Ovis aries: one gene and its partners. The protein of the gene in region 2 purifies or fractionates together with the protein of the main gene of each other region. This does not show direct contact. Links are inferred from orthologs where the notes say so. Each region holds a gene or a part of one and is shown on either strand. Other genes may lie near its edges. The genes, in order: WDR20, PHLPP1, USP46, USP1 and SUGT1.

Region 1 (6,406 bases), on a different chromosome or scaffold from region 2:
CAAATCCATGTAAAAATGCCTGGTTTGAAACCGAAAATCAGTCAGGCCCAGTTATATAAATTTGGTGTTATTTATTGAATTCAGTGTGTAGCAGGGTAAATTAAAAGAAGAAAACTATTAAAATTTTCAAAGGATTTGGATGGGACAAAGTGAACAACCTATTATTACTGTGATCACAATCAAATGTTAAATTTATATAGAATAAAACCTTAATAGAAGCCTAAGATTATAGGTATTATTGGTAATTGAAACCTGCTGTTAATTTGAGGGTTAATTTCTGCTAGCTTAGGTTTTTTTTTTTTTTTTCCTCCAAGAAGTACTATTATGCTTTCGCCCCTTGGTAACTAAGGAACACAGTTGAATCATTTTTAGACGATTCAGGATGTCACTATCCTTCAAGAAGATTATACACATTTTCAACGTAAAATAACATGGTTACAGGAAATTGGGATAAATACATGGGACGCAGAATACATTGTGGCATTTATCAAGACTTCTGATGCCTATTCGACTTTTAGCAGAAAACATAATAACATCAAAACAATTGTAACACAAAATTTTAGGTGTTTTAGGAATCCATTCTTTAAGTAGGGTTTTATTCTAGAGCTTTTCTGCCAACATGCACATCGGATACGGGATGTCAGCGTCAAACGCATTATTACATCAGTGACACCGTCTGCACTGGCATCTGCTTGCTTTGTGATACATAAAATGTTTATGATTTAAACTCCTCTTTACAACTTACCTCCCTCTACTTCTTTTGTGACCCTCCATCTATGATTTGTACTGAGGGAACAGAACATTGTTGGTGTAACAAATGTTGGCCTCGCACTCCAACTCCGCGAAGTCTATTAGAATGTTTATCACTTGAGAAACTCTCTTACTCTAATGCAATATGCTAAGAAACCCAAGGATAAAAGGGTGACGGTTTAATCCGCGTGCCTGCTTTACAATTGAGACCTACTACAGCATATCCTGGAGTAAACCATTCTGCAGATTCCACTTGAGCCTGATAAAAAAATCAAGTCTCCCATTTTCTGGAGAGCTCTTAATAAACTTCGGCGCAAGAGAAGGGAATCTTGCTTCGATTCAGTATCTGGTTCCACAAGTCATTTCCCCGACCCGGCCCGACCCCTCCCCTTTTCTCCAAACACCTGTTGGAGATACACTCAAGAAACAAGCGCGGATACAACCTGCTTTCCTGAAATTAGCCAATGCTCACCACAGATAGGTATGCAGATATTTGACTAGCAAACACAGATGCTACATATCTGTATGTCCTCTCCCCGCCAATCCGTTTAAAAAAAGGGGAAAAAAATAAATAAAGATGAAGCGGCAAGCTGAGGTCCTTCAGTACCTTGTCGGAAACGGACTCTGGGAAGCGCAGAGGGGCTTCCCGACTCGCGCATCCAGACGGTCGCGCGGGGCAGCCTAGCGGAGGCTCAGGACAGGGGGGCCCGCCCCCTGCCAGCCTCGGGGCTCCCCCGCGCCCTCCCCTGGCTCAGAACACTGAGGCTTCCGCGCTTGTTCGCGGCGCCCCACGCGCCGACCGCGACTTGCCGGCTGCCGAAGAGGCTCCCTCCTCAGCCCCTAAAGGTCTCGGGACCTCTCAGGGCAGGGCCCGAGGCAACTGAGGAGGCCGTCCCGAGTTTCCCTCCGCGCCGCCGACCGCAGCCCGGGCGCGGCTTCCGCTAGCCGGTTCAGTCCAGCCAGCCCGTCCGCCCCTCCACCCGCTCGTCGACCCCCGCACGCCCCGCACCAGAACACCTGCGCGGCTCCGAGGTCGCGCGGAGGCGGGGGGAGGAGCCTGCGGACGCCCCGTCGCGTGGAGCGCGCCAGGTGAGCACGCCTGCGCAGTCGGGCCGTAAACAAGCCCGCCCCTTCTCCTCGCCGGCCTCCGCGGGGCCAGCTCGCGGGTGGGAGGGGCCAGAAGGAAGGGGCGGGGGCGTGGGGGGAGGGAGGGAAGAGCGAGAGCCCCGGGACGGCGCCTGCGCAGTGGGCGTGATCCGGGCACTTAGGGCAGGATGAACGCTGCTTTCCAAGATGGCGACGGAGGGAGGAGGGAAGGAGATGAACGAGATTAAGACCCAATTCACCACCCGGGAAGGTCTGTACAAGCTGCTGCCGCACTCGGAGTACAGCCGGCCCAACCGGGTGCCCTTCAACTCGCAGGGCTCTAACCCTGTCCGCGTCTCCTTCGTAAACCTCAACGACCAGTCTGGCAACGGCGACCGCCTCTGCTTCAATGTGGGCCGGGAGCTCTACTTCTATATCTACAAGGGGGTCCGCAAGGTACCGACCGGGGCGCCGGCGGGACTTGGCCCCGGCGTGGGCAGAGGCCGGGGGCAGGGCGGTGACAGCGGGGGGCCGGGGTGGCCGCCGCTCTCACTTTGGAGTGGGCCGGTAACTCCACCGGAGTGCTCCTGAGGAAGGGGGGATTCGGGAGGAGGAGGGCGGCGGGGGCGGTGGCGAGGGGCCGCGGGGTGCGGGGCTCGGCCCGGGAGGCCCCCGGGAGCGTGTGGGGCCGGCTGCCGCCCCTCCGGCAGGGTCTGTCAGGTTTTGACACGGCCGGGGAGCCGGGCCTGCGAGTCCCCGGAAGAGGTGGGGTGGCCGTCTGGTCGCGGCTCGGGCCGCCTCGCCTCCCGGGGAGGGTTGCGAGTCCGGCTCTGAGTGAGAGACCAGGGGCGCCTGGGCGCAGGTCTGTAAGGCGGAACCCGGCCGGGAGGCGGAGGACTCGGTCAGAAATGGACCGGCTCGGCACCAAGGGCCGCCTCACCTGCTGCCGCACCGCCACTCACTAGGAGCCTCTTCGGCTGTTAACACTTGGCCGTTTCCAAAAAAAAGAAAAATCATCCGAGGGAGGCCGGCTGTCACTTGTCTCCGCGGAGGGAACCTTCCTCCTGAGAGATTGTTAAGGTAGGGCTCATCTTGTCCCTTACAGTATGGAAAGGGCTGAGGACCACACTTGGGAGTGGAGGAGATGTTTTCAGTGAACTGAGCTGGTTCCTAGGGATGCTGTATGAGCGTGCCCAGATCCATCCTCGTCCAACAAGTCAGACTGTATGTGCCTAGCAAGGGAGGGTATGCCTTAAAAGCTGCTTCACAAGAACCATTATTCTGGGCGGGCGATTTTAACAGTAATTCTCGCAAGCATGTAATCATCCTCTTAAAGTATCTCTTTGAAAGAAGCAACTTATTAGAACTTTTCTTTCATTGGCTACATAACTGTGTTCTCATTGAGAACTGCTTACTTTCGAGATACGCCATCTGGGAGTTGACTCTTGGAAAAATGAGGAAATTAATGCCCCTGCCGTCCCCGCCAGCACCTGGGCGTGGGAAAAGGTGTTAACAGATTAATTTATAAATGGTCAGTTAGTGTGAAAATAAATTGTATGTATTGAAGGGTGAACGTTTCCCCGGATATACTGTATCCAGAAGCAGTGGGTTTTTGCTTGGTTACAAGATCTAGGAATGTGGCAGTGGTATCTCGGTGGAGCAGGTTGTCTCATTTGTTCCAGGTGAGCCTGCCTGTTAGTGTTTGCGCTAAGTGTACTTCTGTGTTTGAGGTATCCTGTTATAAATTACTGGAGGTAAATCGCTTGACTTTGTTCTCTTGTAGAATTGGAGAAGTCTGAAGTAGTTAGTAGTCTAGGAGTTGAAGTTTTTAGTCCTGCCCTCAACTTTGTCACTGACTTGTTGGGTGACCTTTGACGAGTTACTTAACTTCCATCTGCAGCTCTTTAAAAGAGTATTTCAGTACAGCTGTTGTGATTTTTAGTGTTATGACTATAATGAACTTTAAAGGCCCGAAACATTCAGTAGATGTAAAATACAGTTCAAATAAGTGTCAAGAGCATCTGTCAAACAGGAGCGTTTATCTTAACATTGATGCAGTGACTGAAAGGATCAGCTTTTTCTCTGAAAATAAGTTTAGAATTTTAAGTTATTAAATTGATTTACAAAAAATTTTTTAAGTGCCTAAAAGCTAAATATATTAAGTTACTAGTGTAGACATTACCTTAAAAAATTTTTTTTTTCTTTTAAAGTATACTATTTCTGAAGCATTCTAGTGGCAAGCTGTATCTGTACCTGGTAGCTCTGGTTTGCATCATAAAAATAGGTCTCTTGCCTGGAAGTATCATAATGGTGCCTACTTGTAGTCCTGCTCAATGAAGGATGAATTAGGAGATCTTTTCAAAACTACACAAAAAATTATTTTAAACAAGACAAATCTTAAACATGTAAATTTGCCTTCAGCTGTGTAATTTACTTGAGCACATTAACTTTTCTGTAAAATTTCATTTTCATGTGGTAATATCTTATAGATACATTTGCATTATATGTTGGACATTTAAGCTCTTTTCTGGCCACTGTAATTTTTTTTAAAAAGCATGTCCATGAATGAGTTTGCATTTATTTTTATTTCTGAGTATAAGTGATTGTTTTTATGACTCTGTTTCTGATTTTAAAATATGGCAGATTCTTTTCCTTAATTAAAAACCTTAATTAAAGGTGGATTAAACCTTAATTTAAAAACTTCAGATTTTACTTTTTGGGGTTAGGAGTTATAAATCTGTTTTTGACATTTCGTTGTTTTGACTCTTTAAAAATTTTTTCTTTGGGGCATATAAAGTTTTACAACAGTTAATCAGATCATTTACATAATTTAGAAGATTTAAATTGGATGAATACATTCAACTTAAATCTGACTGGATCTTTTATGTTATTAAAGTATAGTTGGTTTATAGTATAATATTAGTTTCAGGTGTAAGGCGTAGTGATTCAGTATTTTTACAGATGATGCTCCATTAAAAGTATAAGATAATGGCTGTAATTCCCTGTGCCATACAGTATATTCTTGTTTCCTGTTTATTTTATGCATCGTTTGTATCTCTCATCCTGTACCCATAACTCGCTCCTTCCACCTTCCCTCTTCCCTTTGGTAACTGCTAGTTTGTTTTATCTGTGAGTCTGTTTATGTTTTACATAGATGTTTGTTTGTATTATTTTTTAGATTCCACATATAATATGTGATGTCATACAACATTTGTCTCTTTCTGACTTACGTCAACAAGTGTAATATTCCCTAGGTCCATGCACACTGCTGCAAAACTGGGTCTTTTAAAAACCTTAAATTGTGAACTCTGTACTGTCATTCCTGAAAGCAGGGGTGGAGTCCTGGAGAGAGAGAGTAGATGAGGAGGTAGTCAAAGACCTAAGCTGAGGAGTGTGATCTTGGCCTCTTGAAAACACAGGTCAGTTGCTAGAGCTGAAAGGGACCTTCAGTTTATGGAGTCTCACCCCTTTGGAGAAAGCCAAGGCTAGAGAGGATGTGCAAACTGTGAATCAGTTTTTTTTCTTGAGGTAAAGAATTCATGACAAAGAAGCACAACTGAATCTAAGCAGCTGTCTCAGTGAGAAGAGACCAATCTAGCTTTTTGGTTGCACAGATAACCGTATACTTCAAGCTTTTCAGAATTTACCCCAGCATTTTGCCCTGTGTAAGCTTATTGAATCTTGCAATCCTGTTAGGTAAATGAAGCGTCATTTCTTTTTGGAACCAAAGTTCCGAGTAGGGTTTCTTGTGTGAAAACATCTAGTTTTATAAATTTATTTTGTTGAACTAAAAATAATATGGACACTGATTTAATACTGAGGGTAAACTCATTGTTTCAGCAAAGATTTAAGCGACTACTATGATGATAATTCTACTCGGCACGGTAATGTGGGATACCCAAAGACAAGTGAGACCCTACCCTTCTCCCCAAGAATTTTCAGCTACTAGCTTTCTTTATGGCATTCTTTGGTTTCTTTTTTTAAAAAAGAGGTTTTAGGATACAGATGCCAAGGTACTGGGCTTGTTGTACCAACTCTGATTTTATGGAGATCTGTTTTAGCATAAATGAGAATGCCACCACTCAGATCCCTACTTAAGCATCACTTCTCAGCATATCCTTCTTTGAATTCCCAGTCTAGATCAGTTTTCCCCATCATATGTTTTTATAGCATCCTATACTTTGTCTTTCTAGAACTTTTCTCAATTTGTAATTCTCTATCTCTTCTAGAAACAAAGCTCTCTTAGAATAGGATGTCTTTCTGTTTTCTCTGCCGTCCTACATGAAGTAGACCCCTGCAGTTAAATTTGTTGAGTGAATGACTGGGAAAAGTGTCCATGTCCATCTATGTCCTACTTTAAAAAGATCTTTAGTGACTTCCCTAGTAGTCAAGTGGTTAAGAATATGCCTGGCAATGCAGGGGCCCTGGGTTCAATCCCTGGTCCAGGAACTAAGATCCCACATGAACTGGAGCAACTTAGCCTTCGTGCCACAACTAGAGAGAAGCCCATGCACAGCAACAGAGGATCCTGCGTGTGGCAGCTAAGACCTGATGCAGCCGCATACATTAG
Region 2 (5,157 bases):
TGCAGATCCGTGGCTTTGGGGAATCTCCAAATACGAAACGCTTTCCAGCTTTATGAGCACCTCTACATACGGTACATTAGATGCTACCTCGGTGAGCTGCCCTGGTGGCTCAGGGGGTACTGAATCCGCCTGCAACGCAGGAGACCTGGGTTCGATCCCTGTGTCGGGACGATCCCCTGGAGGAAGTCGTGGCAACTCACTCCAGTGCTCTTGCCTGGGGAATCCCATGGATGAGGAAGGAGCCTGGGGGCTTTCAGTCCATGGGGTTGCAGAGGACACAACGGAGCGACTTCACTTCCACCTCAGTGGGCCGCAGTGAAGGCCCCTCAGGCGGCTCCGGGGAAGAGCAAGGAGGCCGAGCAGGAGCCCTGCGTCCACAGGCCTCTTTCACTCACTATTGGCCCCACGCTCCCCAAGGGCGAAGTCTTGTCCTTCGTCTCCAGGGACCCTTACGTGGGCTGAGTGGACAGTGGGACTTGCTGGGATAATGAACCAGAAGCAAGCGTGCCCTGAGCTGCAGGTCTTGGGGAACCAGCCAGGCCCGTGCTGCCGCCCCGTCAGCTGCAGAGGTCCCCTCCGGGGACCCCCAGGTCACGGTGCCTCTGCTGGCCCTGCTCAGGGCGGAAGTGGGCTTCTCGGGGGGTGAGCTGTGGGAGGATGGGGTCCACACAGTCTGTCTGGGGCGGGGGCCACAGAAGGCGACTGACGAGCCCGCCCGCAGAGGGTGCCACACCGAGGAGTCAGAGCGTGCCTGGAACTTCCGGAGGGACTGAGGCACGAGGTGAGAACGCTGAGCCTCCCGGGTCCGCTCAGATCCGCCCGGAGCAGTGGGAAGACTGGCAGGCACTGGTGAGCGGGTGGGGTGCAGGGTTCCAACCCGGCCTTGCTCCGGGCTTAGAGCGGAGCCCTGCCTAGGTTCCACCCTCGGTCACTGATCCCTCGTGGGGCTGCGTGTGTGCCAAGTCGACCCGCTTCAGGCATGTCTGACTCTTTGTGACCCATGGGCTGTGGCCCGCCAGACTCCTCTGTCCATGGGATCCTCCAGGTTAGAACGCTGGCGTGGGTTGCCATGCCCTCCTCCAGGGGGTCTTCCCGACCCAGGGATGGAGCCCAGGTCTCCATGTCTCCTGCGTGGCAGGTGGGCCCTGGGAAGCCACGCTGATGGGGCCGAGATGAGCTCAGTCCTTCCACCGCCTCAGTGGTTTGCACAGCGCACAAGGAGCCCGCCACGGAGTGAAGAGCGGACATCACCAAGACAAGGAGCGGCCCACTCCTCTGGCTGCCCAGAGAGGGGTGGACGGTGGACAGCCCGCTGCAGAGCCTACAAGAGAGACTAGTTGCTGCGTCCTGTCACTGAACCTGCCAGGCGCCCCTCTGGAGGGCAGACCTAAAGAAGGGAAACCACTCTACCTGGAAAGCTGGTCCACTTGAGACCCAGCGGAGACCCAGAGCATCTCCCACACACGGGTCTCAGATGCAGAGTGGGACGGTGCCATCTGTAAGTGGGGCCAGGCAGCCAGCAGGAGTGTGGGACCCCCGAGGGCCCCACAGCACACTCGCTGCTCCCAGGAGGGGTGGGGAGTGCAGCAGTCAGCTCTGGATTTCCACTTTGTCTGTGCACCGTTAATCAGCTACACTCCAATATAAAAAAGATCAACTGTATCCAATTAAAAAAAAAGATTAACTGGTTCACATGATTGAGGGGCCCCTGAGAGAAAGGGAAACAAACTTGGCTTTGTGGGATTTTCCTGGGATCTCCTCTATGCAACCTTATCCCCCTTTTAATATCTCCTCTACACAGTAACAACCAGAAATGGAAATGCTGTAAACCAGCTACACATATTGCTAACTACAGGCTGGATGTCACTACCTTCATTCAAGGTAGTTTAACTTGTTATTTTCTCTTCAAAAGAAAAAAATCAAAGACGGAAGCACCAGATAACCCCAGAGCTCATTCCAAACCCAAGCCGCGCGTGATCATCTGTTAGACACACCTGGCTTCCCGGACAAAAGCAGATGGGTCCAGGACTCGTAAATTCCGTATTTATTATACCAAAATTACGACATGTGCGTTTGTGCATCTTGCTTTAATGTAACTCTCGGTATGTAAAGGATCTATCACCCATGCATGCTGACGGCGGCAGCGGTAAGGAACACAGCTGAAAAGTGTCTGCAAAAGGGGCTGGGCGGGAACAGGAGAGGAGGAGGAGAGGGGCAGCAGCCCCTGGGGGGCAGGTCCCTTCCAGCGGCTCAGGGCCCCTCACCTGAAGGCAGTGCCCTCAGCAGGGCTCGGGCGCACCACGGGGGACCGTGTGGGTGTGGGGACGGAGGGGAGCCAGCCGTTCAGTCTGCGTCCCTCGCGCCAAAGCTACACCACTTCTGAAGCATCACTATACAACATGGAGCTATTTACAATAGAAATTTCTCAATCAACGGTTCTCTCAGAGAAAATTAGTGACTCCCAGTGACTTCAGTCACCCGGCAGAGTGAACAACTCCTAGGAGTTAGTCTCCATTCTCTACAGACGCCTATCGTCTTCAAGACAAAGCGAGGAACCCAGAACAGCAGAAAACAAGAAAACGCCTCCCCCAGGAAGAAACACAGAATCACAATCTTACTAAGTCATTTAGCCCTGGCAACCTGCCTTGCCTTCCACACACAGAGAACAAAAAAGCCATTTAAAAAACATTACATTACCGCTAACGGTTTCTCTGTAATATATTAAACCTTTTGTTTTTCGTCTTTACACATCTGATACGTTAGGGGAAGAGGTTAACAAATTGAAATCATATGGGTAGAGCATCACTTGAAGAGAAGTGGTAATTATTATTTTTTTTGAACAGCCAACAGAAGGGGCGCCTGCGGCCGCGGAGGCGCCTTTGGCCGCGGAGGCGCCTTTGGCCGCGGGCCCCGGGCCGTCAGAGCGGCGTGTCGCAGCGGCAGTCCGCCGGCTCCGCGGGGCCCGGGCGCGGCGGCGCGGGCGGCCGCTGCCTCATCATCTCCTTCACCTCCTCTTCCAGCTCCGGGGGGATGATGAGCTGGTCGTCGGGGTCCGGCTGCGCCGGGGCCGCGAAGTAGCCGCCCGGCCTGCGCAGCGGCGCGTCGGCGGCCACCTCGATCGCATTGTGGCTGCGCTCCTGGGGGGCCACGGAGCCGTTTCCCCGCCGGCGCCCCATGGTCCCCGCGGCCCCGTCCGCGCGCCGCGCCGCGCCCGGCTCGTCCTCGGCGGCGCCCGCGCCCTCGGCGGCGGCCTCGGGCGGCGGGCCGGGTGCGGGCGGCCGCCGGAGCTCCCCGTCCCTGGCGCGGCCACAGTGGATGTCCACCGCCACCTCCACGCGGCTGCCGTTGCTGAACACGCCCTCGATGGGCTCCTCATCGTCGCTGTCCAGCCCGTTGTCCGAGAAGGCGCTGGAGAAGGTGGCGCTGGACAGCTGCCGCTGGAAGGCGCCAGGCGCGCCCCCGGGGTGCAGCGCACAGCGGGGCTCGCCGGGGCCAGCGGGGCTGCCCTCGACCAGCACGCCCGGTGGCGGCGGCTCGTCCGAGGCCGTGGAGCCCACCTCGCTGCTCATTTCCGATGTGGACAGCTCGCTGCTCATCTCAGAGGTCAGCCCGCTGCTGGAGGAGGGCGCGCCCAGCCCGTCGGCCGGCCGCTCCCGGACAGCCATGCCTGCAGCGGGCGCGAAGACGCTGGGGCTGGGCGGCGGCAAGGCAGCCAGCTCACAGCAGCAGAAGCTGTCCTCGGGAACGCTGAGCTGCACGACCACCGCACTCACACTCTCGCGGCAGCCGTAGCTCTGCGCCAGGGTGCAGAGCTTCTTGGCGGCGGCCAGCGCGTCAGGCACGCTGCGCACGGCGCCCACGGCCTCCTCCACAGACAGGCTGTCCCACAGCCCCTTGCTGCCCAGGATGAAGAACTCGTCCTGCGGGCTCAAGGCCACCGACTGCACGTGCGGGCGGGGCACCACGCTGGGGTGCAGGAAGGTGTAGCCCAGGATGCGCGTGGACTCAGTCACTCCGTTCACTTTGCCGTCCTGGAAAGAGAGGGGTTGCCAAGCAGACGTTACCACCGAGAGTTGGGGGCGGGGCTCCTGCCTGGGGGAAGCTCCTGGGCCTGCCTGTCCGCCTCCTGTGAGGGGCTCCCGGCCACCTGTCATCAGAACCTGGGGACGGCAGGGAGCAGGAGGGACACGTGGAAAGCGCTTCATGCCTTCCCTGTGCTGGGACCTGTCCGTTCCAAAGCACACCGTCATCTGGCTGAGTCAGCAACACGGTCTGATCAGCATCTCTGGGAACGCACAGGGGTCCGGGGGAAGGGCCTGCTGAGCCACCCGGGGGGGCGGCAGACCCTCCCAGGCAGGTACCATTCAGAGTGATGGCCCTCATCTGAGACCACTGCCCACAGCTCAGCAACCAGCAGGTGTGGGGAGGTCCAGAAGCGGGCAGAGTTTTAAACTGAAGGAGGCTGAAACAAATTGCTGGGGAGATCCCAGTGAGACTAGGTAGGGAGAAGTGAAGTGTTTGGAGAGGCAGACACTTATTCAAGGAGAAAGGCGGCTTCTATAATTCCTGAGCTGACTTTGCTGGCAGCAAATGGAGACGGTGATGCCTCCCGCTTCAGTCCAGCTGGGTGCCCACCATCTGAACCATGAACCAAAGTTTCAGACCGTTTGCCAGTAAAAAGCTTTTACTCTGCGGCTGAAGCGAGGAGCCCTGGTATAACTGCTTGGTTCTTGATTCTTCAAGTTCTTCTGCAGAAACGGTTAATCTCTGCACCATGTGCTGTTGAGCACGGGACTCAATGCACAGTTAACAGTGTAACTCGGTCCCATCTGAGACTCTTCGCTCCCTACATGGCGTCTAGTGTCCACTTCAGTCCTCTCTGCTCTCAGAACAGGAGGGGCCTGGGGTCGAGAGGAAGACTCCTTTCCCAGACTCCCACGGTAGGTCCTGAGTTGTCTTCCTCACGGCCCTGGGCGAGCCTTCCTGGAGTCAGTCTCTCTCTACTGACTGCAGACCTCCACCACTGTCCACCTGGACATCACACGGCTCCTCGGGCTTTACTGACAAGCGAGACTGGACACCTCCTGTGGGCAGACAAGGGAATCACGTCGACAGCACCTATCCGTTTCAGGCACACAGAGGTGACCCCCACTGCAG
Region 3 (6,265 bases), on a different chromosome or scaffold from region 2:
CAGGCACAAAACGTAATCTATTTGACACACGGCATTCCTTTCACGGAATATTTTACAGCACTATTCACAAATGAAATTAAGATTTGATGATTTAGGCCAATCTGCATCCATACAAGTCACATTTCTAGAGGGCACATTTGGTTTCTACTAACAAATGCTTCCTCTTTAGAAAATTCCTCAGGCTTTTCAAATAGAAAATCTACCCCCCAAAAACCTTTCACTTACAAAAGTTAAACCCATTAGCCTGGCCAAAATCAGAAGACTATCAACAAGGGACATTTCCTCATGCTTGGTAGCAGCTAATACATTTAAAAAATTACAACATACCAGCCAAACAAGCTTTACTATCTCTGAAGCAGACACGCTGTGTAGCTAAGGTGACAAGCCCTCAGCAAGCTGATCAAGAATCACTATGGCAGGAATTCACACGAAGTGAAATTAAGACAAACGGGAACTCGCATTAAACTGCCAATGGACAATAAAACCTCGGGGGTAGAAGACAAGTAGAGGGATGGGAGTATTTTCCACGACCCCTGTACCTAAAACTGGCACAAGAAGTGTGGGGAAAAGAGAAGGTGTTTATTTCTCAATCACACAAGGATTTGCAACAAGGTTTTTCCTGCTCTGCTGCGTCCTTTCTTGTCTGCTGGATGAAACAAATCCAGACTCAGTACTAGGTCCTGGTTTGCACAAGCCTTACCTAGAAGGATGTATCTTCTATCACTGTTTCTGTGACACACATCAGCCTGTTTAAAATATGCCAGATGACCTGCTTTTAAAAAAAAAAAAAAGACGCAACTGTCAACTGTCACTTCTTACTACAACTCCATTTGGTCCCAATGGAGTTTGGGACTGGGAAGGATCAGTTAGAGCCCCCCAGAGAGAAAAGAAGTGGTGAGGAGAGACCCACAGAAGACCTACCTGGAAACAATTCATCATTGAGTGAAGAATCTTAAGCGAGGTCCAATGAAACTGTATGTCTGAACAAGTGAAAAGACAGCAGTCTCATCACCCAGCCTCCTCTGTGGGAAGCAAGACTGGGAGGGACCAGGGCACCAGAGCAGCCTTTTATAAGGGGGCGGGATTAAGGACTCCCACCCCAGTCTCCCTGTATGGGCTTGGTTTGCATAAACAAACATTTATCTTAGCATTTATCTTAGCAGCTGCTTACATCAGGTCCAAGAAGACACTGTCCTTTAAACAACTGAAGATGACATAATAATGAGAAAGATGAAGCTGATCAGCAACACGTGATACTCAGTAAGTACTTGCTACCTAGTAGGCTCAGTAACTCCTTTAATACAACAGTCGCATGAGGAGGAACCATTATCATCCCCTTCTTGTAGATTAGGAAAGTAGGAGAGCAACTGGTTCTGGGACAAAAAACTAGCATATGTTCGAACCAAAACCCTGAACCCAGGAAGTCTGACTTTAGAGCCCAGACTCTTTATGTCCCTTACTCTAGGCACAGGGTCTATATCGGAATGTACAACTCCCGAGTTGTGAATTATTGGTTCCTCATCTCACTTGGGTGATGATCCTAAGTTTGGTGCCTTTTTAAGGACTTCACATGAGATGTCAATTCTCCACAGCCCACTCCTCTCGTCTGCCCTGCAGCTTGCCTCTCTAGCTGAGTTTTGTTGGAAACAGGTTGTGACATTCTGCTCAGGTGTGCCAAGAAGCCCCAGCTGCACTGAGGGCAGAAAAGGAAAAAAGCTGGAGGCTGGCTTCATCTTGGCACACGCTAGCTCTCAAGTTTCCAGCCTGCTTCAGTACAGAGGTGTCACCACAAACAAGCAGGGCAGGAACACCACCACCGACGGCTCCACTGCCCTGTAAGCCCAAAGCCACCAGAGCAGGCACGAAAGAGTGTTAGAGTTGCTCTGGTTTCACAGTTCCCCTCAGGAGCTGGTCTTAGCAGACAGAGAAACCGGGAAGAGAGGCATCACCTTTTCACTGCACCAAGCAACATTAATGCCATTCGACAGGAGGGAGCAGGGGGCCTGTCTCCGCATGGAGAAGAGAGGAAATGGAAACCGGCCAGGAGCCACCCACCACGTCTAACTGGTCCTGAGCCAGTATTTTTGCAGCTGTCACCCCGGGAAGGCCCAGCTTTTGCTCTGCCCACCACAGCAGTAGCCACGTCCAACAGCGCTGAAAACTGAAGCCAGCGCCAGTGGGTCTTGATTCCATCCCTGAGTAACACATGGCTCCTTAATGCTCCTTTCCCATGTGTTAATCTTGCAGGAGAATATGGGACAGAAGATTTGAAAAGCTGGGTGATGGGGGAAGGGCAGCCAGATCACCTTACTCCCAGGCTTTTCAATCAAGCCTCCTCAGATTCCCTTTAGCGGCCTGTGTTACTAGCTTGAGAGGTTTCCCCAAACTGGTATTAAAAGAGCATGTGTTCCATCCAGCTGGAGGAAGGGGAGACAGGATGGGGGTGGGGTGGGGGGTTGGTCCTTGGACAGCCAAGGCAAAGCACACACCCTCTCATCGTGCACAGGAAGGCAGTGCCTCACTCCAGGGGGCAAGCCTTGGTCCCCAAGGCTCTGACAAGTGGAAGTACCAGCAGGAGGCACCCTTGAGACCCAAGGGCTGGAGGTTGTTCCTGCAGAAGGCAAAGCAATGGGAGAAATACAAGTTAAAGTGATCACGATGTCGTGGGCCCCGTCCTCACCAGAGCCCAGCAATGTCCTCTTGCTGCGTCCACACCCACCGGTCCACACTTGGGTCTACAGTGACAGGCAGGATAACCCTGGAGACCTCCTCCATGCCCCCCAGACGGCCTGCATCCTCAGGACCTTTAAATGTCACTGCCTTATGACCTTGTTCCCCTTTCACAGATGGGGAAACTGAGGCATCCACAACAAATGACCGTGCTTTCCCAAACCAGGTATAAGTTCACTTCCCTGACCACAATTTTGCACTTTTTTTTACAGCTCTATCACATTTCAGATTTCTCCAGACACACCGACTGCCTCTGCAAAGTGAATCTTAAATACAGTTTAAAAGAGTGAACTCAAAAATCAGATAAGGGCGGTCAGGGTGTCCGGCAGGGCTTTATCTTCGGCAAGAACATGGTGGGCGTCCCCCGCGACCCCAGCTTCTCCAACCTGGTCCCCCGGGACGTCCGGGTTCGGCCTACCTCCTCCCCCCAAGACGCTTCACCGCAACCCGAGGGCGGAGGCGCAGCGGCTCAGGGACGCGCGGGCGGGCGGGCTCCCGGGTCTCGGGGCCGAGAAGGGGGCGGGGGGCTCCGGGCCCCTCCCCCGACAGCTCTCCGGGCCGCGACCGGCCCGCCCAGCCCGGGGGCCGGGAACTTCTGGCGGCGCCGCACGGCCCCCGCCGCCCCCACCCCCACCGGCCGCTCGGCGGGCGTGCAGCTCGGGTTTCCCATTCTTCGCCTCCCCACGCCTGGGGCTCGACCCTCGAGGCGGCGGCGGCGGCGACCACTCACCATATTACAGATGGAGGCGATGTTTCGGACAGTCATTAGTCTAAAGGTTACAGCGATCCCGCACCGCCATCTTTACAAGGGGAAAACAGGACCGGCCATGGTGGAGCGCTCGCGGGGAGGCCGGGCGCGGCGGCGGCGGCGGCGGGGAGGCGGCCTGGGGTCCGGCTTTCAGTTTGGCTGGGAGAAGGGAGGCCGGGAGGGAGGAGAGGAGGCGGGGAGGGCGGGGAAGGCGGGAGGCGGGCGGGAGAGCGGAGGGGCGGGGAGTGGCGGAGCGAGGGAGCCTGGGCCGCGGCCGGCGGCGCCGGGAGGAGGGGCGGCCCGAGCGCCGCGTGCAACCCGCACGCCCCGAGCGCTCCCGCCGCGCTCCGGCCCCGACCCGGCCCGGGTCCCCGCGGCTCCTCCTCCCGCCTCCGCCGGCCGCCCCGGCTCGGCTTTCCTCTTTTTTCTCTCTCGGCGTCCTGCTTCACTCCGAACCGGCTGGAAAGCGCGGCCAGGCCCCGGCTCGCGCAGCTGCAGCCGGTCCCCCGGGCGGACCCGTCCGCGCCGGCGGCCTCCTCCGCCCAGCTCCGGCCCGCGGCGCCGCCCGGGAAGCGAGACCGAGCCCTCGCTGGGTGTCGGCCGCCGGAAGGCGCAGCGCGCGGGCTGGGGACTCGCGGCCGCTTTCTGTCTTCACTTGTTCTTTCTGGCCGCGCGGCCCGCAGCAGCCCCGCGTTTTCACGTTCCGGCGAGTGGAGGAGGCAAGGGGCAGGGGTGACTACGTCCAACTTTTCGTTTGTCCCTGGGTTTCCAGCTAGATGGCACCAGCGGGGACCCACGAAGTAAATGGGGTCAGGACACGGCAGTGCCGAGAGCCCTTGGCCTGCCGGGTCGAGGGCGCCGGGAGGGGACGGGAGCGTGGGCCGAGGCGCGCTTGGGCAGTGGGTGACAGCAGCAGGTACAAAGGGGAAGTCTCAGTACTGGATAAGGACTAGGGATGGTCCAGGGAGCGATGGAACCTGGAAAGAATGAAAAACAAACTTTTCCGCGTCTTCTAGAAAAACCTACTTCACTCGGGGCCACCCAGCTTCTTCAGGTTTGGAGGGTCATTGTATTGGCTCATACACATTTCCTGCATACACAGTCGTGGTTTTTAACTCAAAGCGCGAATCTACACCACTTAGCAGTTACATTCTGTGAAGTGGAGGAGCCCATTTCCGAAGGTGTAAAACAGTTCTCATACAAAGTTGCAGTTTTATGCTTTCAACAGAGAAGTTGTACGAGGGAAACGCCTGACAGTTCTTAAACCCATATATTTAATGACAAATCGAATTAGAGGAGAAATTAATGAAATTGAAGATAGCTTTTATCTAACCAAGAGGAACATACTGGGAAAATAGCTCACTTCCTGTCCTCCATTATCTATTTAGTGTTAATGCTCTTTAGTAGTTGAAGACCATTGATTGTTAATGTCCCTAGGACCTGGGATGGAAATAAGACAACGGAGACAAAGTTTCGTTGGGGGTCATCTTGGCTCTGGATATTTAATGGATTTCCAGACATCAATTCCTGCTTAAGTTATTCTGCCTACATCTTATTTCCAAACAGATCCTGATAATGATGGTAGCTCACTTTGACTTTTTACCATTGTCAGTCATGATGCTCTTTACATTCATGACCTTGGTCACCGCCAAACCCATCGGATGACGGATCCTATTATAATCGCCTTTTGTAGGTCAGTTAAAAAAAAGCTTAGGATACCAAGCATCCTATTTCCATCATGTTACCCATATGTTACAACTGAAGCTGGGGTGCTAATCTGGCTGAGCACCTTGAAGACAAGAAAACAAAACACCCAACCTATGGCCAGTTAGGGTAACTGACACCTGGGTGAATGTGCCTGCTCAGTGGCTCAATCACATTCCACTCTTTTGCGACCCCATGAACTGTAGCCCTCCAAGCTCCTCTGTCCATGGGATTCTCCAGGTAAGAATACTGGAGTGGGTTGCCATTTCCTCCTCCAGAGGATCTTCCCCACCCAGGGACTGAACCCGTGTCTTTTGCATTTCCTGCATTGGCAGGCAGATTCTTTACCACCGTGCCACCTGGGAAGCCCACAACTGACCTATAAAGGTTTAAAATATTATACTTGAGGAAAGTCATAAAACAAGTTCAGGAGCAACCTCAAGGCTAGAACTTAGGACTCAAATTTCACAGACATTCCACTGTAAAAGCATTAATACAAAACCTTAAATAATACAGAAATTTTATACCATAATAGAGTTCAGAATTTCTGCCATTAGTATAGCATAATGGATGGCAAAGTCCACAGGATTGAAAATGCCATTGACACGGTGAAAATTGAACATCGTTGGATTACTGAGTGCTATGTCAGCAAGGCATCCTTTGCATGAACAGCCTATAGGCTAAAACCCGTGTTCAATATAGACAAACATTCAGATTGAAACTCAGTGAATTAGAAACAACAAATCAATTGAACACAGCAGATCTTGTCAGACTCATGAATAATTAAATATATTTTTACACTACTACGAGGTTCGTATTCACAGGCCTAAATCAGAAAGGGCATTAGTTGAAGAACTGTAACCTCAGTCTTTTTCAGCGGTAAACATTGTTTGGAGGTGATAAGATGCAAAGTAATGAAAATGTTGACAAGCTAATGAGAATTTTTAGGAGAAGTGTTTCATGTATAGGGGCCAGCTGATACGAAGGTATAGAGTAAAATCTGGGCAAAGTACACACTTGGGAAGTTGGGACATAGGCTAGCACTAAACAGATGAAGGAACATGACTCAGGCCAGGCCAGTGA
Region 4 (6,551 bases), on a different chromosome or scaffold from region 2:
TTGTTCAGCCAACATGACATTTTAATCAAGTAGTTTAACTCTGAACAGAATCCTGGGATTATGACGATATTTGGGAGAGGCTGCACTAAGTCAGATTCTGTTAATAAAAGATTAAGAGGAAACCAAGTCTATGAAGATACTTATACAGCTGTCCCCCACTTAAAAATGAATTGTTCAAGTTTATAATTCTTTAACCTCATTTTAACAAACAGTCTTCGCAGCATTTTTATTTATTTTACAGCTGCTGGCTATTATTCTTAATACCTTTAGGTGTTTGTAGGCATGAATCCGGTAAACAAGAGGTTTACACATAATCTCCTAAACTGATTATTGGAAAATACCAATACTAGGAAGTTACACAGAGAACCAAATATACATTAGTCATATAGCAGAGTGACTGTGTGCTGAATTTAGAGCAAGTGTAGACTCCAACTAGAACACTATTGGTGAAACAAAGAATATCATTCTGTTCTGATTTCTTTTCAATCACTGAAGGATTTATTGCATCAAAAGCATATCTTATAGGTTTGAGAATTCATGTACTAGGTAGGACTACAAAGTGCATCTCAGGTAACTGTCAGGTCTTCCGAACCAAAAGACCATCACAAATTTCTTTACCCTTACTTAAAACATGTTGCATTACAATCAGGTTTAAATTGAAAAATAATTTTAATCAACAAATACTTCTCTAAGTTAGTGTAACTGGACAAACACAATTTCAGTGAGTTATAATATTAACTGTGATGTGATCTCTGTGGGGAACCAGCAGTTTTATCTAGTTTCTACTATATACTGCTAGACTTGTCTCACTAATGTGTGTTTTTTTATGTGCCTCTATGGACTATCAGGTCAGAATGATTGTAGAAATCAAACCAAGTTCCCTGCTTTTTTACTGATACAGAATTTTTAAAAGTACAGAAAAATGCTAAAAATAACATACATACATTTCAGACCCTTTATATTCAGAAGTCTTTTCTTCATTTTCTTGAGAATCTGTGAAATCCAAGGCTCTCTTGGTTTCCTTTTTCTGAAAAAACTTCAAGGAAAGTCTGTTTTTTTTGGATGGACTACCTCTTGAAAGCCCATTACTTTCACTAGGTATGACACCAGGCATTTTCTCCTCAAATTCCAAGCAGTTGACAGGAATTAACTTATACAGGGATCTTGTAATCACCAGTCATACCTGTTAATCAGAGAAAAGGTTATTAGTTTTCAGTTACCAACTGCAGGCAATAAAATCATTTCTGAAAACAAATTTACCAAGAAATGGTACTAATTAGAACTTTGTATTGGAAAATCTAATGCCCACCAATAAGAGGCAGTCAATGTTTACTGCTTAAATGAACAAGCTGCCATTTGTCCTTAACTCTTAAACAACAAAAAGTCATGATACTGAACTTTTATTAGCCTGCTATTAGATTTAAGGGGAGCATCACAAAATACTCCACTTTAGTAAGAGATGTGTGGTAAAGTATTATCATTAAAGGGTAAAAAACTTTATCATCTATTAGTTCATCCAGAAAACACTGAGCTTTTTTACCAAGGTGGGAAAAAGGATGAATGGGAAATCAAAGGAGTGCTAGAAGTGACTTGAGTTCTTCTTCCAAAGTCTCTTCTAGTTATATGAAATAATCTACTTAAAGTATAATCTACATACAAGAAAAGGCCTACACCTAGTGTTTACACCTAAAAACTTGTGTAATAAACTATTCGAAGTTGAGATAATGGTGTAAAAAACTGCTATATTTTGTGTATATCAAATTCTTATGCACTAGAAACCGAAATATACTGACTTTACAAACTTTTTCTAACTACAGAATTAAAATACTGCTTTAAGTAGGAAAAAAGAAAAGCTTCCCTTGTGCAAACTTTCTTCCCTGTTTTATAATAAAACTTGGATTAAAAAAAAAAAGGTTGTATTTGTGGTAGTCATTTTACACTTCAGTCCTGTTTTTCATTAGGAAGATATTAGGAATAATTATCTATTACCAGAAAATCAGTTAAGAGTCCAAAAGCTCAGCAATGACTTTCAAATATAGGTAAAGGATGAACTAAACTCACACCCTTAAGCATTTCACTTGGCTGCCTGTGAGGTGGGAATTTACAACAATAAACTCAGCAGTGAAACATGCCCCTTTTTTTGAGACATCTCAGAATACCTAGAAAGCAAACCAATTTCCACACTCCAACTCAATTTATTCGTATGAAATGCTATCACTAATGGTAAACTAGCCTGCACTACAGTGTCAGGGATCCCTAAGCATAACTTGTGATTCTTGTAAAAGGTTGTTCTTAGGAGCCAATTCTAATAAACGATGGAAACTGCATTCTCTGAGAGTAATCGGACTTAACAACAAAAAACGACCCAGCAGCTAAAATAACTATCAATCCTAATCAATAAACCAATCCTCAGGGCTCCTCAAAGCAATGATTAAACATTAGCCCTACCTAGACTGTGTCACAGTTTACCAGGTGCCGTATCTTAAGCTATACCACTTCTTGCTCCTGGCTGTCCTATCACTGGGAGTTACGTCAAAAATGTTTATCTAAATCAAGTTTCGCAGAAAACACAATATATCGAACATTAAATGTTCTTGGCCAAATGACAGTGTGAACACGAAGTCCCATTAGTTTCAGGTTCTTTCCTCTAATATGGCACAACTCAATTCTTAACTTTTCACGAAAAATGTAAAACTAGGATAACATCCTCGACAAAGGTTTAAGACACGTGGCGTTCTAAAAACTTGTAGAACATCTAAAAGTTAAACTGCGCGGTAAAATTTAGCAATCACCGACAAGAACAACGTGAGTGCAAACATTTCTTGTCCCCACCCCGCAAACTGTAGGAACGGAAGAGAAACTGAGGCGATGACGGTCGGTGTTGCTGTCCGTGCCCGTCAGACGCGGCGGGCACCGGGCGGGAGGCGTCTGAGAGCAAAACCATAACGCCCGGCCCCTCGCCCGCGGAGCTGGCCTATTTACGCCCGGCCCGCACCTGCCGGAGTCCCCAGCGCCGGCTGGAAGGGGCACGGCCCGTTGAGTGGAGGGCTCGGCTGGCAGCTGGGCGGGGACGCGGCAACCCAAGGAGCCGGGGGTCCTCCCCGCGGCCCCCTTGGGCGACGGCCGAACTTGACGCGGCGCCCGGGAACCGGCCCCTCCTCCACGGGCCCTCCTTACCTGGTCATGGCCCAGAGCGAGGTCCGCGGCGGTGACGCCGGCGAGTCCAACCCCGCTGAGTGCGGGTGCGACAGGTGAGCCCCTGCCCCGGGCCCCCGACCCTCAGAAAAGCTGACCCGATCGCCCTCCCCGGGGGAAGTGACCATTCGCTCTCAAGAGCGGGAACCCGGGCTGCAGCTCGGTCCTGCCTGGCGCGGGCACCAACTACATCCCCGGAGCGGCGCCCTCCCGCGCCCGCCCCCGCCCCGGGACGGCAAGGAGCGCCAGAAGCGGCTCCGCTAGCCGGGCGCCCGAACCGCTAGGGTCTTCCTCACTCCACCACCGACGGGAACTTGGCGCGTTTTCCTCTGTCTCAGGACCCCCGTGTTTTAGCCTCCGCCCGCGCCAGCGCCGCGATTGGAGGCGGCGTCCTTCGAAAGTGCCGGTTCTAGTCTCCACGCTGCAGAGACGCGAAAGGCCAGAGCCGCCTCGCGACCGCCACTCGCCCCTCTGGCACGCCCGGACTCCTGAACCAGCTGGAACGGTAGTTGCCCCAAGATCTTAACGGGTTCTGCAGTTTCAAACAGCGCAGGCAGCGTCACGGGCAGCTCGCGCGGGTCCTCGCTGAGGGCGCGCGCTGGGAGCTAGAGGCCTGGCTGGCGCGCTCGAGCTTCACACACACACCCCGCCCCCCCCCTCGCCCCCGCCTCGCCCTTTTTTTTTTTTAACCATTCGTGCGCGAGAGCTGGGGGGAAAGCGTACGGGTCGGGAGACGGGACAGAGAGAAGATGGGACGGGCTCCTTGCTCTGGAAGGAACCGCCAGGTGCTCAAATCCACCAATCCGTGATGACAATCCCCAACCCTGCCCACCCGCCGCCCAGGAGGAGCCAATCAGAAGTACCTAGGCAAAAAAGCGGACTGGGTAGGTGGGGAAAAGCAGTTCAGCCAATACCAAAAAGAAGAGAGGAGGAGTCCAGCCAATCATTTTTTGATATACAGAGTGTTCCTCAGGCGCTGTTCCCTTCCTTGGACTCTCATTGGCTCTCGAGTGCGCGCTTTCGCTGCGGACTGTTAAATTTCGCTCTGAGTTTCGTGAATCCTCGAAGGTGGGGCGCCCGCTAGGGTGTGGTTTCCGGAGCTAGGCCCACAATAAATTCCGCCCCCGTTTCCTGCGTACACTGCTGGGCGGAGTTACCCGGAGATTAGTTTCTGAAAATGGCCGACTACCTTGCTTAGTCCGTTGCGCTTGGGTTTTCTGTATCAAATCGCAGCCCCAGGTCCTAGGCCATCCAGTAAAAACAAGCGCCGCAGGAAATAATAGTAGATTCTCTCTCAACTGAATACTACAAAGTTGAGACTCCCTTTTCAGCCCCTCTGCGCTTTTTCCTCTTGCTTACCCGTTCCCCTTCCTGACTGGACAAGAAAACGAAAGAGCGTTCTTAAGACCCAGCTCTGGCTGACGGAGCTGCAAGGGGATCCTGCGCCAGTCCTTACTAACGCGCTCAAAAACGGCAAGGCAGGCCTTACCGGGTTTCTGCTGCTGTCTGTTGTACGCCTACCTCGGTGAGATACCTCACAAAGCAAGTGTAGTGAATAAGTACAATCCAAATTCATTTAACCAAGCGTGTTTTTAGGTGCCCAGTATGTGCAGGCATTCTTTACCTGACGTGAGTTACAAGGAAATAAGGAGTGTGCTCCTTTGGGTAATAATATTAGTCTTGACATTTGAGTAGAGAGCTAACTGAAAGCGCAGCCAGCCTGGGAAGAACCTGAGGGTGAATGGTCCAGGCAGGGAGAAGGGCAAGTTTCAAAAGTCCTCAGGGTTCATGTGCTTGGTGTTTTGGGAGGAAGCAAGGAAGGCAGGGTGCTTAGAGCACACTTAGCCTGGTTTTAATGACTGGGAAATGAGATTAGTGACATGGTCAGGACTCTTATTAAGCAGGGTAGGGAGATGGGAGCCATTTGATGTTTTTGAGCTTGGAGGTGGATAATCTAAAAATGGCTGCTTGTGGTGGTAGACTGTTAACTTTCTAAAGTGCAAGGTAGAAGATCACCCAGGGAATAAATTAGATTCGCACCATCTAATAAATTAGAAAGTGGTAGCAGTGGAAATGTTGAGAATGAGTAGGATTTAGAATATATTTTGAAGTAAAGCCAATGGGATCTGCTGATAAGTAAGAAAAAGACAAAGTGGTTTTTTGTTTCTTTTAAACCAAAGTGATAGGATAGTGGTTGTCCTGGCTAAAATGGAAAGCATTGAGGTAATAGTGGGTGTGGTGGGAGGGGTGGTTTTTCTTAGACATAAAGATTGAAACGTCATACTGAGCCAACAGATTTCAAGTTTGGGGGTCCATAGAGCATTGTGATTAGGAGATACAAATTTGAGAGTCACCAAATAGTGTTTAAATCCACAGGACTTTAAGAAATCTTCTAGAATGTTGGTGGTGGTTGTTCAGTTGCTAAGTTCTGTCCGACTCTTTGTAATATTAGCCTTGTTTGTAGTTCAGTTCAGTTCAGTTGCTCAGTTGTGTCCAGTTCTTTGCGACCCCATGAATCGCAGCTCGCCAGGCCTCCCTGTCCATCACCAACTCCCAGAGTTCACTCAGACTCACGTCCATAGAGTCCGTGATGCCATCCAGCCATCTCATCCTCTGTCGTCCCCTTCTCCTCCTGCCCCCAATCCCCCCCAGCATCAGAGTCTTTTCCAATGAGTCAACTCTTCGCATGAGGTGGCCAAAGTACTGGAGTTTCAGCTTTAGTATTCCTTCCAAAGAAATCCCAGGGCTGATCTCCTTCAGAATGGACTGATTGGATCTCCTTGCAGTCCAAGAGACTCTCAAGAGTCTTCTCGAACACCACAGTTCAAAACCATTAATTCTTCAGCGCTCAGCCTTTTTCACAGTCCAACTCTCACATCCATACGTGACCAGGGGAAAAACCATAGCCTTGACTAGACAGACCTTAGTCGGCAAAGTAATGTCTCTGCTTTTGAATATACTATCTAGGTTGGTCATAACTTTTCTTCCAAGGAGTAAGCCTCTTTTAATTTCATGGCTGCAGTCACCATCTGCAGTGATTTTGGAGCCCACAAAAATAAAGTCTGACACTGTTTCCACTGTTTCCCCATCTATTTCCCATGAAGTGATGGGACTAGATGCCATGATCTTCGTTTTCTGAATGTTGAGCTTTAAACCAGCTTTTTCACTCTCCTCTTTCAGTTTCATCAAGAGGCTTTTTAGTTCCTCTTCACTTTCTGCCATAAGGGTGATGTCATCTGCATATCTGAAGTTATTGATATTTCTCCCAGCAGTCTTGATTCCAGCTTGTGTTTCTTCCAGTCTAACGTTTCTCAAGATGTACTCTGCATATAAGTTAAATAAGCAGGGTGACAATA
Region 5 (6,340 bases), on a different chromosome or scaffold from region 2:
ATTAATTAAGATAGTGTGGGACACGGTTAGGCAGACCAATGGCATGAGAACCTGGAAATAGACCCTCATATATCTGGTTATCTACTTTACAACAATCGTGCCATAAATATTTACTGGGGGAAAGAGCAAATGACAGTCTTTTCAGGAAATAGGTCTGGGTCAATTGGATATCCATAGAGGTGGGGGGAGGGGAATTTTGATCCTGACTTCAAACCTTTTATAAAAATGAATAAATCTGGCTGTGAAAGGTAAAAATGTAAAGCATTTAAGAAAACACAGGTAACTAATTTCACGGTTTTGAAGCAGGCAAAACCTTATGTATGACACAGAGAGAATCGATCACAAAAAAGAAAGATCAGCAAATCCAGTTTTACTTCAATTATTTCTGTTATTCTCACCACACCCTACAATCACTGACCTATTTAAGAGACATTTTGGTTCAGGGGTGAAGAATCCACCTCCCAGTGTAGGAGCCCTGGGTTCGATCCCTGGGTGGGGAAGATCCTTTGGAGAAGGCAGTGACAACCCACTCCAGCCTTGTCTGGGAAATTTCATGGACAGAGGAGACTGGACGGCTACAGTCCCTGGCGATGTAAACAGTCAAACCCCACTGAGCAGTGAGCACACATTGGCCTGCGGTACAGCAGTTGTCTCCCAACAACTGTTCTGTTCCCTTTAATCATTCTTCTATTGTTGTTGTCCAGTCGTGTGTCTTCCATAGTACAGACAGAATAACAAACAAAAATGTAAATTTAACCGTTAATGCCTTTTTCGAGTAACAATCCTATAATGGTTTAGCATCTTTAAGTGAATTCCATTCAAACTTCTCAGCGGAGTACACCTAGTCCTTATGACCTAGCATGTACCTACCTCTCCAGTCTGCTTCTAGCTTGAATTTTGGCTCTACAATTTGAGTTCACATCATCACTTTCTAACACGCATCCTATTCTGTCTGAATTGCCTTTTCCCTTTCCTTCCACTAATTAGTCTTCTTACCAGACTGAGGCTCAGTTTTACAACCTATGAGGACTCCATCCGTATACATTATATTCAGTTGTGTCCCTTCTTGCTATCACATCAATGACTACGGCCCTTTCATTTTTAGCCTTTAGAACAAAACTGGAGGGTGTTACCACCACTGAATCCCCGGACTTTTTAAGTTTAGATTTCGGATGGAGCAGATACTCCAGTTCAGTTCCTTGTTCGTCTCTATGAACGAGCGGCTCACTCCCACGCCTTCCTGCTCCCCGGCTCCCGCCGCGGTGGAGTTAGCTCTAAGTTTCTTCTGTTGGAATTGCACGGGTCGAGGGGCACTGAGGGAGGAGGGTCGGACCCGCTGAGTGGAAAGTAGAGCGGCACTGAGAAAAACTTCAGGCTCCCTTTCTCCCTTCAGCGCCTTCGGATCGAACACATTTTTCTTGTGTCTGGAAGTCAAGTGGGGAGAAAGCCTCAGCCTGTGAAGTTCTGGGGAACCGCGCGGTCCGCCCGAACCGGAATCAAAAGGCGTTAACTCCAGTCTAGCCATTGTGAGGGCAAAGCGACTCCCAGCGAGCCCGAGGCCCTCAGGGCTCCCGGCGCCAGGATCCCGGCGTCAACGGGCCACCCTCCGGAAGTGGCTCCCGGAAAAGAACACGTAGCCGAGAGCGTCACGGGTCGCGAAAGCCATGGCTGCCTCTGGGGAGCCATGATGAGAGCCATAGGGGAAAATGGAGCTCGACGTGCCGTGTGTAATTGACAAACGTACAAACGTCTCCCAAACACCACAGGTTCCTGAGGGTAACTGTATGGTCCAAGGGTCCTACTGAGTTACCGCGCGCGGAGGCTCTCGGGTAGTGCGTGCGAGCACTAGGACCGAGGGCGAGCGTGGCCCGCCGCGGCCTCCGTAACCATGGCTGCGGTGGGGCGGGGCCTGCGCGGTCGGTCAGCGGCCGGGGGGGCGGGGTCCGGAGAGTCGGTCCTCCAAGGTCCCAGCCCGCCCCGCGCCCGCGTTTCGCCTCCTCTCCCTCCTCCCTTCAGCACGCTGCGCGGCTGCTCGTTGGCTACTTAGGACGGAAGCTCGGTGGGTGATTCTCCAGAAGTTTCCCCCTTGGGCGGCGGCGGTGGCGGCGCTGGTAACCCCGGGAAGAGCGGCTCCGGCAGCGGGAACCCTGACGATTAGAGATGGCGGCGGCGGCGGCGGGCCCTGCGGCAGCCGCGAGGTGCGTGTCTTTCCTTCTCTTTGGTGTAATTGGCATCCCCCCGCCCCTTTCTTTGGTTCGTGAGCCCTTCTTGAAGTCGTTCTTTTCCTGGCAGGTTGTTCCGGAGTTTCTCAGATGCCCTCATCGAGCAGGACCCCCAGGCGGCGTTAGAGGTGAGACAGCCTTTGCCCCGGGGCAGGCGGTCGCGTCGGCTTCCTCCCGGCTCTGTCTTCCGGGGGTCGGGGCCGCTGCTTCTCCTTTGGGTCAACCTCCGATGTTGACAGCCTCCGCCCCTTCTTTTTCTGCCCCGCGGCGGCCTGGTTACATTAGATCCTTCGTCGTGTCCCCTTTCCACCCCTGGTCCCTTTATGCATCCTTGGAGCTCCGTAGCGTACGTAACCTTCTTCTGTCTTAGGGGTAGAGTTAACCTGCATCGTGGCCTTAAGGGGCTTGTGGGTTTTTTTAATGGCATTTGTGACTAGAACAAAAAGTGAAATCTCAGTTCGATGTTTGTTCATTCGGGTTTTCGTTTGGCGGTCATCCTTGATTATTTTTAAGTACCAGGTGCTGAGTGCCTGTCTGAACTCACACCACGAGGACAGAAACCTTCTCCCCTTGTGTGCCTGAAAATTTCCAGGCGTCCCTATTTCTGTTCATTATTCACTCGTTTGTTTTATTTCTCAAAACAGTTTCTTGGGGGGGGGGGCGCTGCTGTGTGGAAGGCATTGGTTGCTATGGATTAAAGTCTTAATTTATACAGTTAAATGACTTACAAAGCACTTTGTGTGCAGTGAAAGGCTATAAAGCTGTAAAGGAAACCGAAAGAGTGAGTTAAGTAATAATTTGAAGTAACACAGAGAGCCCAAGCTTATACGTGATGCAGTGGGTCTCAAAATCAGCCAGGGGTTTCTTGTTTTGAAGCTTAAAAAGAGAGGAGACTTTGTTTTGCTGTTCTAATCTAACAGATGTAAGGTTGGGGATTTGAGGCAAGAGAACCTTTCTCTTGGCTGTGATTTCTGAAAGAAGTTGACTCATGGTTAGTAGAGGAGGTGACATTTGAGAAGAGGCACGAGGGAGCGAGCTTGGAAGCCCTGCGGAAGGATTATTTCAGGCAGGAAGAGGAGCCAGTGTCAAGATCCTAAAGTAGGAGTGAAGTTGGCCTAAACAGGGAGCAGCAAGAAAGCCCAGTTTGGTTAGAGTGGGATGGACGGAGTGAGAGGAGGTGGAAAGGAAGCCGGGGCCGAATCCATCGGTGCCTTTTATCTGTAGCTTGAGCTATGTTTTTTGGGGGGTTGGGATATGAAGACCTTAAAATGAAGCGGTTGATTACTCCTGTGCTGGGATGTTTTCTAGTGATTCTTCTGGGGTCACTGTTAGAATAATGTTACCAGAGGCACTGAATTTTTCTCTACAGTTCCTTATTTCAGCTCAGTATCTGTTTTCAGAGTCTACATTTGTATGGTCCTCTTAGGCCCTGTGCCTCCTTTGGAAATCTAGTTTATATAATAGTTACTATTAAAAAATATTAATATACTGGATTCTTTGTCATTTTACATCTGACTTATTTTACATTTAAAATTATGTATTGACGTGTGGTATGTAACACAAATCTAAAGTTTCTTCCCAGCCAATAATTCCTCTTACCCATCTGTTCTGAACTCCATCACCATCAATTAGTTTTCCCTGGACTTCATACAAACAGTATCATACAGTATCAAACAGCGTCATACTTAATTGAGTGTAGCTACTCTCTCTTGCTTTAAACATTATGTGAGATACATCCATAAGTTTATGGGACGGGATAATTCTTTTTCATTGCTGTGTAGTATTTCGCTGTATTAATATAGCACTGTTTAACAGTGGACATTTGGGATATTTCTAGTTGTTAGCTAGTATGAATAAAACCGCTGTGAATTTTCTTATACATGTGTTTTGCTGAACACATGCACTCCTTTCTTTTAAGAGTGCAATTTTTTTTTTCTTTCTAGGAGTGAATTTGCATATTATAGGTGTGTGGTTAGCTTTAGTACATTTGTCCTTAAAGTGTGGTTCTTGGACCAGCAGCGTTAGCATCACTGAGGAATTCCTTAGAAATGCAAATTCTCGGATGCCCCCTCCCTCAGATTTTCTTTTTCTTTCCTCTTAGGGGGGTGGGCAGTACGTGATGTGGCATCTTAGTTCCCCAGCCAGGAATGGAACCCATACCTGCTGGAGCGGAAGTGAAGACCCCAGGGAATTCCCCGCTGCAGATTTTCTGAATGTAGTTATGGCTCCTGTAGGCTGGTACCCCTTACCCTTCCTTTTTACAGCAGGAAACAGGCCCAAGGAAATGCAGATGAGCTATCAGGCAGGTGTGGACAGCCAGGGAGAGGCAGGACAGGGGCCCGAGGACAGGAGACTCCTGCTCCCAGTCTGGTGCTGTTGTGGTTTCCACGTGTTACCCCAGACCCTCTGCAGGAGCATCACCTGGAAGTCTGTTAGAAATGTGAATTCTCAGGACCTGCCATGGACCTGAGTCCGAAACCCAGAGTCGGGAGGATGGTCATGATAAGAACCAGCCTGTGTTAAGAGGAAATGTCCTTTTTTTAATCTTGAGATGATCTTCTCACTGCGTTAAACAGGTGAATGTTAATTACTAGATAATTGGTAATAATGAGTAGGGCAGGAACCTTGATGAAAAGAGTCAGTTTCCCCTTCGCTTTCCCCAAGGGCTGGTTAAAAGTAACTGTTTTGAAATTAAGGTCACTAGATATTATAGCAGGTAAAATGTCACATTTTTATACAACACCATCCTATTAAGAATAAAGAAAAAGTGTATCAAGCTGATTACATGTTTCATTAAACAATGTATATTGGTGTAGAAGGCTGTACTGGGAGCCAGCAATCTAAAGATGAAAATACTGTAGTGAGGGAGTTTGCAGTCTAGAGGAGAGAGAGGCAAGTCAGCAGGTCATTAGAATATAAGATAAATGCTCTAGTGGAGTGGTGTATAAGGTACAGTAAAATAGAGGCCAACTGGGGAAGTAAAAAAATAAATCTTTGCAGAGGAAGTCTCAATTCAGCAGAGAGAGAAAACGTTTCTGTGGATTATAAGGATCTTTTGAGGCCCAACATGAGTGGTACTTAAGAGCACTGGCTCTGGAATCAGACTGCTTGGGTCTACCATATCTTGGTTTCAGGAAAGTTCTGGCCATCACTCTTCTTGATCAGACTTCCTGTCTGTAAAATGGGACTAACTGGGACCACTGGAAAGGATGATTATAATGACAAGTAATGTAAGGTCCAAGGGTGAGGCCCTTGAGGTAGGCATCTTGGAGAGCCTTGCTTTCTAGGTTTTCACCCCACTGGCTCTCTTTCTGTTACTCAGGTGTGTCGGACTCAGGCCTGGTGCAGGGCCTTTGGACTTGAAGCAGTTCTTTTGCCTAGAATGTCCTCTCTGTTGACTGTTTATTGTTGTGGTTAGAAATGCTTGTCACTTTAGATTTCAGCTGAAATGTCACCTCAAGGAACCTCTTTTCTGACTCCTTTATCTGAATGAGGCCCCAATGTAAGCTTCAGGGGAGCAGGGGTTTTGTGTACCTGGTTACCACTGTCTTCTAAGTGTAGTGCCTGCGATGTGGTAGGCACTCAGGTGTATTAAATGATTCCTACTGTAATTCTTGGAGCAGCTGTGCAGTGCATTTTACTAACAAGCTTAGGCTCAAGAGATGAACTTACTCGGGTTATCGAGTTTAGAAGCAGTGAGTCTTGGGTTCAGGGCATGAAGCTGATCCTCTGGAGGAGTGGGTAAGGATTGAGGTGTATGATATAATTAAATGTTTGTGAGCTGACTTTGAAGTAGCTGACCACAGATAGCTTTGTTGAGGGCATAGCAGGTTGGAATAAAACATGCCAGTTCTACATGATTATGTGATTTTGGAAGGGAGAAGTCTTGGTATTCTTGTTTATCCATGATTGGGGATTAGCTGTGACTGAAAGAAAGTGAAAAGTGGAGGTAGCCTGAGACACCTAGAGCTGAAGGCCTTCAGACATGCGGTCAGTCTGAGCAGTCTGCTTTTGCTTTTAATCTGAACAAGTTACCTTTCTGGTTAGCATTTTAAAAGAGCCTAAAGCCCTAAAGATTTGGAAGTTAGTTTTCCAAGATCGAAATCTTACACAATGTT

The links.
Region 1: the proteins of PHLPP1 (region 2) and WDR20 purify together in Homo sapiens (affinity purification with mass spectrometry; 4 studies listed by BioGRID and IntAct, with this or other methods). This does not show direct contact. The link is inferred for Ovis aries from reciprocal best matches to the Homo sapiens genes PHLPP1 and WDR20.
Region 3: the proteins of PHLPP1 (region 2) and USP46 purify together in Homo sapiens (affinity purification with mass spectrometry; 7 studies listed by BioGRID and IntAct, counting the BioPlex papers as one, with this or other methods). This does not show direct contact. The link is inferred for Ovis aries from reciprocal best matches to the Homo sapiens genes PHLPP1 and USP46.
Region 4: the proteins of PHLPP1 (region 2) and USP1 purify together in Homo sapiens (affinity purification with mass spectrometry; 6 studies listed by BioGRID and IntAct, counting the BioPlex papers as one, with this or other methods). This does not show direct contact. The link is inferred for Ovis aries from reciprocal best matches to the Homo sapiens genes PHLPP1 and USP1.
Region 5: the proteins of PHLPP1 (region 2) and SUGT1 purify together in Homo sapiens (affinity purification with mass spectrometry; 5 studies listed by BioGRID and IntAct, with this or other methods). This does not show direct contact. The link is inferred for Ovis aries from reciprocal best matches to the Homo sapiens genes PHLPP1 and SUGT1.

Annotation. Positions count from the first base shown.
Region 1 is NC_056071.1:64,614,441-64,620,846, forward strand, and holds the start of WDR20 (WD repeat-containing protein 20), read left to right. Parts: upstream 1-2,021; 5' UTR 2,022-2,043; coding exon 2,044-2,292; intron 2,293-6,406. UniProt on the Homo sapiens protein: Regulator of deubiquitinating complexes. Activates deubiquitinating activity of complexes containing USP12. Anchors at the base of the ubiquitin-contacting loop of USP12 and remotely modulates the catalytic center of the enzyme.
Region 2 is NC_056076.1:61,591,721-61,596,877, reverse strand, and holds the end of PHLPP1 (PH domain leucine-rich repeat-containing protein phosphatase 1), read right to left. Parts: intron 4,032-5,157; coding exon 2,919-4,031; 3' UTR 2,030-2,918; downstream 1-2,029. UniProt on the Homo sapiens protein: Protein phosphatase involved in regulation of Akt and PKC signaling.
Region 3 is NC_056059.1:69,051,102-69,057,366, forward strand, and holds the start of USP46 (ubiquitin carboxyl-terminal hydrolase 46), read right to left. Parts: upstream 3,640-6,265; 5' UTR 3,497-3,639; coding exon 3,461-3,496; intron 2,607-3,460; exon of another isoform or gene 2,490-2,606; intron 2,220-2,489; exon of another isoform or gene 940-2,219; coding exon of another isoform or gene 922-939; intron 773-921; exon of another isoform or gene 701-772; intron 1-700. UniProt on the Homo sapiens protein: Deubiquitinating enzyme that plays a role in behavior, possibly by regulating GABA action. May act by mediating the deubiquitination of GAD1/GAD67.
Region 4 is NC_056054.1:37,861,964-37,868,514, reverse strand, and holds the start of USP1 (ubiquitin carboxyl-terminal hydrolase 1), read right to left. Parts: upstream 3,522-6,551; 5' UTR 3,178-3,521; intron 1,184-3,177; 5' UTR 1,115-1,183; coding exon 945-1,114; intron 1-944. UniProt on the Homo sapiens protein: Negative regulator of DNA damage repair which specifically deubiquitinates monoubiquitinated FANCD2. Also involved in PCNA-mediated translesion synthesis (TLS) by deubiquitinating monoubiquitinated PCNA.
Region 5 is NC_056063.1:11,521,808-11,528,147, reverse strand, and holds the start of SUGT1 (protein SGT1 homolog), read left to right. Parts: upstream 1-2,034; 5' UTR 2,035-2,160; coding exon 2,161-2,198; intron 2,199-2,292; coding exon 2,293-2,350; intron 2,351-6,340. UniProt on the Homo sapiens protein: May play a role in ubiquitination and subsequent proteasomal degradation of target proteins.